2 linked regions of the Sus scrofa genome follow. The protein of the gene in region 2 purifies or fractionates together with the protein of the main gene of each other region. This does not show direct contact. Links are inferred from orthologs where the notes say so. Each region holds a gene or a part of one and is shown on either strand. Other genes may lie near its edges.

Region 1 (4,045 bases), on a different chromosome or scaffold from region 2:
GACACGATAAAAGGCCATGCAACGACTCCTGTGTCTACGAGGCTGGGGAGAGTCAGGTGTCCCAGGTACCTGCTGCGGAACAGGTGAGGCAAGACTTCAATGCGAGAAATAACTTGCCTGGCCCAAGGAAGGGTGTTGGATACACGCCCTTCAATGGGAAGGGACCTCCCTGCCACTGGTCATCTGCTCCTGGCCAGACTGACCCCGAAAGGTTAAGCCAAGCACAAGAAGCTCGGAGATGTACTGACTCTTAACAAGGAAAGAAAAAGATACACGCATCTGCCACAAGGGAATCAGAGATCAAAAGCTCCCCAAAAACACAAAGCAAATTCGAGATGCGCCGAACGCTGAGAACTAACTGCTCCAGTTAGGAAGCCTTCAGGGCAGCAGAATGAAGTACCCTCAGACCCACCCACCTCGCCCTGAGAAAGGGCACTGGCCCCGGAGCCTCCGAGCTGACGCCCTGACTGCATGTGCCACACATCGTAACCTCCAGGACCCTCGCCGCCCTGCCAGCCCAGGGGCTTCCGCACACTTCTGGCAGCTGGCCCTCCCGCTGGACCACCGTGCTTCTCCTCGGGCGGGACTCAACACGTCACGAGAAGAGCGGCAGCACACTGCCCCCGAGAGCAGGGACAGGAGGCCGGGCCACTCGCTCCAGCTGCCTCGCTGCGCCCGGCTGGAGGCAGCTCAGACCCAGGAGTCCTCGTCCTGGGAAGCCGCTGAGGCCCTGATGGAGCCCAGCCCCCCTTCAAAGCATCCCCATCTCTGGGAAAGCAGCTCAGGCGCCCACCCCCCGTCTGACTCCAGAGGACCGCTTGACTGTGGCGGGCAAGGGACCGACTCAGCCCCCCAAGGCCTCCCTCTCACACCCTTGGGGGCCTCACACTTCCTCGCCCTCCCTACAACACCACCCAGCGCTCCGGTGGGCTGGGCCCTCCAGACCCCTGCCCCTCGCTCCGTGCTTAGCAGGAAGGGCGCAGGGCCGGCCCAGGTAAGCCGACGACTCTGACGCGTCCTAAGGGGAGAAAGGGTCAAGAAGCACTGGCCACACGCTGGCGGCCAGAGCCCAGGAATTCAGCAAGCAGCGAAGGCTCACAGCAGTCAGGCAGGACTGACCAGACTCTGAGCGACAAAGCTACAGAGGAGGCGGAAGACCGGACTCCAAGGAGTAAAACTCCTCGCAAAGACGGCCCTTCCAGGAGCCCGACGGCCCCCCGGGGGACCCACGTCAACTGCGAGAAAAGAGAGGACCTCACACTGGTGCCAGAGACCTGTAGCTCTTGTGTGTTTTGGCTGCACGGCCAGAAACGTGGAAAGAACGTTTAACCCCGTCCGGATCGGGCGTTTTCGTCCAGCCCAAGGAAGGGATGCCTTGAGCCAACGGCCTGCTTTGAGGACGCCCAGCTGTGCACACCTGGCACACCTGGTGAGGCCCCGCGACCAAAGAAAAAGCCCTTCTTCCTCAGGAGTCCCTCGGCCAGATCTCTGCCCCCACGACGCCGCGGGCCCCAGAAGGGCCTCGACAAGCTCGAGCCGCAGCTCCCCCGCCCCGGCCCGAGACGCGAGGCGGACGGCAGGTCGCCGGGCGGAGCCAGGTGCGCGCGGCGGCCCGCCGGCCGGCCTTACCGTTGCTGTAGGCGTACGGAGACTCGGCTGCGCCGTCCTGCAGGCTCTCCAGGATCTCGCCCTTGCCCACGTCGCTGTCGCCCACCAGCAGGAACTTGAGCAGGTAGTCGTAGCTCTTGACTGGGCTGCCCTGCGTCCCCATCTTCGCTCACGCGCGCGCGGGCCGCACCCGCATGCCCACGGCGCCGCGGAGCCCGCTGGCGGAGGCCTCCGACCGACCTGCGTGCGCGGGCGCGGGTGAGCGAGGCCGGCGGACGGCAAGGCCGCTCCGCCCGCACCTGCTCCACCGCCCCCGCTTCGCTTCCCTTCGCCTCGCCTCAGCGCCGCCGCCGCCGCCCCGCAGCTTCCCGCACGGCGCCGAGCAGCCCCGCCACCCCGCCCCGCCCCGCGCGCCACCATTGGTCGTCCGCCGCACCCTTCCCGCGGCCATTGGCCGCTGCGCATATCCGTCAGCACTGCTAGCGCCCCTGCCCCCGCCCCCCCAGCTTCCCATACAGCGCTGCGAGACCTCGGGTCGTTCCTCCCCATCATTGCCCCGCCCCTACGCTGCTGCTGTACGTCGCACGCCGCCTCCCGCGCGGCCACTGGCCCGTGAGCACGTCCATCAAAGCTGCCCCGCCTCCATCGCTTCCCACTCAGTTCTGCGAAGACTCCAGTCGCCCCGCCCCGCCTTCACGCTGTTGCCATTGGCCCCTCGCCTCTCGCTTTCCGGGACCCTCTGATCCGCCTGCCTGTCCGTCAGCATTACGCCCCCCACCCCCCGCCGATTCCCGCAGAGCATCCGAGACTCACCGGCAAACCTGCCCACTGCCCCCGCAGCTCCTGGGCCCTAACACGCCCCCTCCGCTTCGCCATTGGCCACCGCAGCCGATCCTCCCAGAGCTACTGGACCACCTACACGTCGCTCATGGCCCTCTAAGCCCGCCCATCTTGCCCCCTATACGCTCACCAATCAGAAGCTTGGACCTCCAGGTTGTTTGCATACACCCCCTTACTTCCGCGGACTGAGCGGGACGGTGGCGGTCCCCGTTGTGAGGTGACGCGGGTGACTATGGCAGGGCTGAACCTCCTAGAAAGCTGCGGCCGCAGCTTCCGCAGAGACCCGGGCGCGTACAGTGCGGCCCCCCGGAAAGGCGCCCTCCCCACGGAGGGGGCGTGACGAGGGCGCAGTGAGACAAGATCCACCAATCGGCGCTCGGAGCGGCCGGGTAGACGGGACTTCCGTTCCCGCGCCGGGGGCGGGGCCGGGGGATGGTGAGGTGGGGGCGGGCGCCGGGTTTCTTGTGGGGAAGGTGGTGAGTGGGGGCGCGGGTGAGGGGCGGGGAGACGAGGCAGGGCGCGAGGGTAGGGACGGTGAAATGAGGCGGTGGCAGGAACTTGGAATTACCTGGGTCGGGGCGCAGGGGCAGCGAGGTGAGGCTTGGTTGCAGGCGGCGAGGCGGGGACTCCAGCGCAGCTCTGTCCCCGCCCCTCGCGTCTGCCCCGTTCCCTGGGCAAGTCTTGCAGGTGACAGCGCGGCTCTCAAGGCCGCTGCAGAAAGGGGGTCGGCCTGCATGTCGTCCTCTAGCCCCAGAGACGACGGCAGCACTGGCTGTGAGCCGCCCACCCTGGGAAGAGTCGGGGTCAGGCCAGGTGGGGCACCCAGGAGGGCCCAGGAAGAGGGTCCGGGGGAGCCTGTAGGAGGAAGTGACTTTGGGTTGTTTACAGAATGGATAGGTTATGAAAAGGTGTGAACAGTTGTGAAGATACAATTTTATTCTGCAAAATAGAAAGTAAAGCAAAATATACCCTCTTCACCCATTAGATTGGCAACATTACTTGTGGCACCTAGGATGTAGGGTGACAGCTCTCTGGCAGGGAGGTTGGACAACTTAGTAAGTAATTCCATATTTCATTTAGTCGGGAGAAGTTCTCAAAAACAAGCTCATGAATTTCACTGTTGGAGTTCCCACAGGGGGTTAAGAATCTGATTGCAGCTGCTTGGGTCTCTGGGGAGGAATGGGTTTGATCCCCAAACTGGCACAATGGGCGAAAGATCCCGCACTGCTGCAGCTCACAGCTGTGGCTCAGATTCAGTCCCTGGCCCAGGAACTTCCATGTGCCACAGGTGTGGCCATAAAATTTTTTTGGATTAAAAAATAAAGAATTTCACTCTAGGAGTTCCCCTTGCGGCACAGCGGAAAAGAATCCGACTAGGATCCATGAGGTTGTGGGTTCGATCCCTGGCCTTGCTCAGTGGGTTAAGGATCCGGTGTTGCCGTGAGCTGTGGTGTAGGTCACAGGCATGGCTCAGATCCTGCATTGCTGTGGCTCCTATTCAGCCACTAGCCTGGGAACCTCCATATGCTGTGGGTATCGCCCTAAGAAGAAAAAAAAAAAAAAACAAAGCTTGTGCGTGACTGTTCACAGCGTCATT
Region 2 (3,955 bases):
CAGGGATCGAACCTCATGGTTCCTAGTCAGATTCGTTAACCACTGAGCCACAACGGGAACTCCAGCTCTCGCTCTTTATACCTCTACAGTACTAGCAAACCTATTCCCCTTTTCCTTGTCAGTGCTTGCTCACTGTGTCATTTGCTCCTTTCAGAATGAAGGGGGTGGGGGTGGGGAAGAGTGGAAACAAGGAAGTGTTAACTACATCAGAATGGGTGGACAGGTAAATCTTAGATCAAGAAGTCATAAAAATTTTGAAATAACCTACAATGGAAAAGAATCTGAAAAAAAAAGTGTGTGTGTGTGTGTATTTGAATCACTTTGCTGTACACCTGAAACACTTTTAATCAACTACAATAAATTTTTTTAAAAAAGAAGTCATAACAAATCATTTAGATGTATGAGATGAATTCTGAATTCCAAATATTAAGGAAGTGGGATTAGATAGGCTCTTTGTAGAATCTAAAAATCTCTGAATTATGCTTATAGCTTTGATTTAATTATTTAAAAAAAAAACAACTGACCTAAATGTATAAAAATTCCTAAAGTTTCAGATAAAAGAAAACATTTTTCCTTTGGTGATATTCCTAATATCTAAAACAGCACATTTCTAAGGAGTACAATAACAGTAACACCTTTAAGAATGACGCTACCCTAAGGATTGGCAAGTCTATAAAACTTCCTTCTGCCGTCACCTGACCACTAAGTGGATTTTAACACCTTATAATCAAAATATAGAGGTCTAGTCCAGAATACTTTCCTGAATCCAAAGTACAGCTGTTGTAAATCTGCAACATTAATCCACAGTAGCGGAATACTTGCTATAATTAGAAAGTTAATGTGCCTGTTAAGTCATTTAGAGCCCATACTTTGACCAGGAAGGTTTATTTGCTGCCAAATTTCAACCATTATTTAAAACTCTGCATTTCTATTTACAAATTTAAAATTTTTCCCTGGGGAGAAGAAGAAAATAACCTTTCAGAAAAACCTCTTTTTTTAATCACTTAGGGGATAAAATTTTTAACAAAGTTTTTTCTCATAAAAGAACAAAAATTGTTTGGATAAGTCAAAAATGCCACTCAAAGCAGAAATTATGATTTCAGTTTTTAAGTAAGGAGTAGGGTAAGGGGGCTGTATTGCAGGCCAATAAACAAGGTATTTTTAAAACCTAATATGCAAAACACGTGGATCATGTCTGAAATAAAATTCTTTTAAAAGTAAAAAAATAAATATATGATATCTCATTGTTGTAAATCTGCTTTTAAAATGAGTCCTTATTTTATGAATAAAAAACAAGAAAACATACTACAGAGAGGGTAAATGAAGAAACCTCTTGATTCTGGCAGTTCTGAATTTTCATTCCTCAAGAAGGGAGAGTGATTTTTTTTTTTTTTTTAGATTTTATTTTTTCTTTTATAGTTGATTTGGTTCCTAGTCGGATTCATTTCTGCTGCGCCACGAAGGGAACTCCTTATAGTTGATTTGAGAGCAATTTTTGAGTTATTTTCTCCAAAACTCTGATTTTTCGGTTTAAGATGTAAAAGCTTTCAAACTATAGAAACCTCGGTTTCATTTAAGATGCTCTCACAGTGATTTTAAATGCCCTATTAAAAAAAATAAGGATGCATTTAAACAGCATCTCTTTTTCAAGGTGTTCTGAGATCTTAGAACAGAAACCATATAAAATATAACAGGATGAAGCTGTCCCGAAAGGTTTCACTTGGTCCAATATTTTTAAAAAAATTTATAGAAAGAAGTGACTTATTTGTAAAAGAAAATTCTCCACAAAGGCCTATCAGGACACTGTCTTCTCCAGGAAATGGCATCCTTTGATAGCGTAGGGCCAGGAATGAGATTAAAATTTATGTTTCTGAATAAAGGGCTTAACATTCTTCTTCAAGACAAGCTACTGCCATCTGACCAGTCTTGAATCATCCAAGTTTTAAAGCCAGCAGAACAGTAGCTAATCCCGAAAGGCAACAGCTAGGGACACTTCTTTCCTGCGCCTCTCCGGAACAAGACTAAGAGTCATTACTGTGGAAGATGACTCCAGAGCATCACTCTGGTGTGTGAAAAGAAGCATTAAAACGACCCGCTGACTCAGGGCCTTGACCGTGACCTCTACAGTTTGCTTTTAGAAAAGGGTGGCGAGGTTGGGCCCACAAACCAAAGTGGTGCCTCGCAGCTCCCATCAACTCACCTACTTTTATTGTCTTGACCACACCCATCACTACCTGAAATTACCTTTTTAACTGCCCTGCTTTCCACCTGTTTCGTTCCCCAGACTACCAGTCCCCGTCGCCGGCCGCAGCCCTCCGACTAGCAGCAGCACGGGCGTGGCCCCAGTCTTTCGCTCCCAGGCAGGGCGACCCCGCCCCTATACCTCCAGGAACAGTCTCTCCGAGGCTCGGTGTGTCCCACGGGCCGGAGCTGGGCCCGCGGAGGCCGCAGCACAGCCAGGGTCTCGAGTGCAGCGCTTACCCATCACCTGGACCCTGCAGATGGCGCACGTATCGCACTCCACGTCCCAGCTCCACATGGCCACCGCGTTCCACTTCTTCAGAGAGAACATCTTGTCGCCTCCCGACTTGGTTCCTGAGCTACCGGAGTGAGAGGACAGGGCGCAGGGCTCCTCGCCGTCTTCCACGTCTGCCATGGCGGCGGCGCGAAGCCGGCGGCGGAGACGTTAGGTTGCGGAAGGCGGGCGACTATGGCGGCTCCCTGGGGCCCCTCGCCGGGCCACAGCGCCGCCCGCAGGCTGCGGGCCACCGTGGGGCCTACGACGGAGGCCGCCCGAGACTGGCTGGCGCGTCCCAGTGACGTCACCGCCCCCGCGCCCTGGGCCCGGCCCGCTCCGACTCTTTGGCCAAGAATGGGCGCCGCGCTCAGGAGGGTTGCCGGTGCAGGAAGCAGGTGTTCTGCTTTATGCCTTCGTGACCCTTCTGGCTCTCACAAGTTGTCATATTGATGTACTCCCTTCCTAAATGAAAACGCCATCGGAGCGAGGACGTGACTTGATCACCACCTTCTCCTGGGTATGTGAAAAATGCCTGGCCTCAGGAGGGGTAGTTATTTGTTGAGTGAATGAATGACTATCTTTTAGAAATCTGGTTCAGCCGTTCTCAAACTTTTTGGTCTTGGCACCCCTTTACACTTAAGAATCACTGGAACATTAAAGAACTTTCGGTTTGTAAAATATGTGTACACACAAACACACACTTTTTTTTTAAGAAATACGAAAAAAATTTTAATGTATTCACTTAAAAAATAACCATAGGAGTTCCTGTTGTGGTTAAGCGATGAGGAACCCGACTAGTATCTAGTATACATGAGAATGCAGGTTCAATCCCTGGCCTTGCTCAGTGGATCGGTGTTGTTGTGAGCTGTGGTGTAGGCTGGTAGCTGTATCCGATTCAGCCCCTAGCCTGGGAACTTCCATATGCCACAGGTGTGCCCCCACCCCCCGCCCCCGCAAGGAAAAGCAATAAACCCATTACAAGTAATCATTAGAACAAGGATATCACATATCTTGTAGCTTTTATAAAACTCCACTGTATACTCACAGGAGAAAGTGAAGAGAAATAGCGGTGAATATTGTTATGCAAATACTTTTGACCTTGTTTCCCCTGAAAGGATCCCAGGAACCCCCGGGGACCACACTCTGAGAACCTCTATCTAGTCCAACATCCTCCTTTTATTGATAGGAATGTTGAGGTCCAGAAAAATAAGATAAAGACACACCATTATTCCCTAAAGGTAACTGTTTTGAATCCAGGGTTCTTCTGCATCTAGCCCGGGGTCATATTATTATGTTTTCCCAAGCAAAGCAGATAACATCTCTATTTAAATAAGAAAGCTGTGGTATGGAGAGCCCACGAAGATGCCTGATCACCACTACCACCTAGTGGTGGACACCTGCTGTGTCGGGTTTGGAATTCAGAGCCTCCCACCTTTT

Evidence for each region. The genes of interacting proteins can lie anywhere in the genome.
Region 1: the proteins of RNF7 (region 2) and RAB40C purify together in Homo sapiens (co-immunoprecipitation; 4 studies listed by BioGRID and IntAct, with this or other methods). This does not show direct contact. The link is inferred for Sus scrofa from reciprocal best matches to the Homo sapiens genes RNF7 and RAB40C.

Annotation. Positions count from the first base shown.
Region 1 is NC_010445.4:41,157,296-41,161,340, forward strand, and holds the start of RAB40C (ras-related protein Rab-40C), read right to left. Parts: upstream 2,802-4,045; 5' UTR 2,613-2,801; coding exon of another isoform or gene 2,579-2,612; intron 2,539-2,578; exon of another isoform or gene 2,422-2,538; intron 1,849-2,421; 5' UTR 1,772-1,848; coding exon 1,630-1,771; intron 1-1,629. UniProt on the Homo sapiens protein: RAB40C small GTPase acts as substrate-recognition component of the ECS(RAB40C) E3 ubiquitin ligase complex which mediates the ubiquitination and subsequent proteasomal degradation of target proteins.
Region 2 is NC_010455.5:82,547,321-82,551,275, reverse strand, and holds the start of RNF7 (RING-box protein 2), read right to left. Parts: upstream 2,802-3,955; 5' UTR 2,657-2,801; coding exon 2,482-2,656; intron 1-2,481. UniProt on the Homo sapiens protein: Catalytic component of multiple cullin-5-RING E3 ubiquitin-protein ligase complexes (ECS complexes), which mediate the ubiquitination and subsequent proteasomal degradation of target proteins.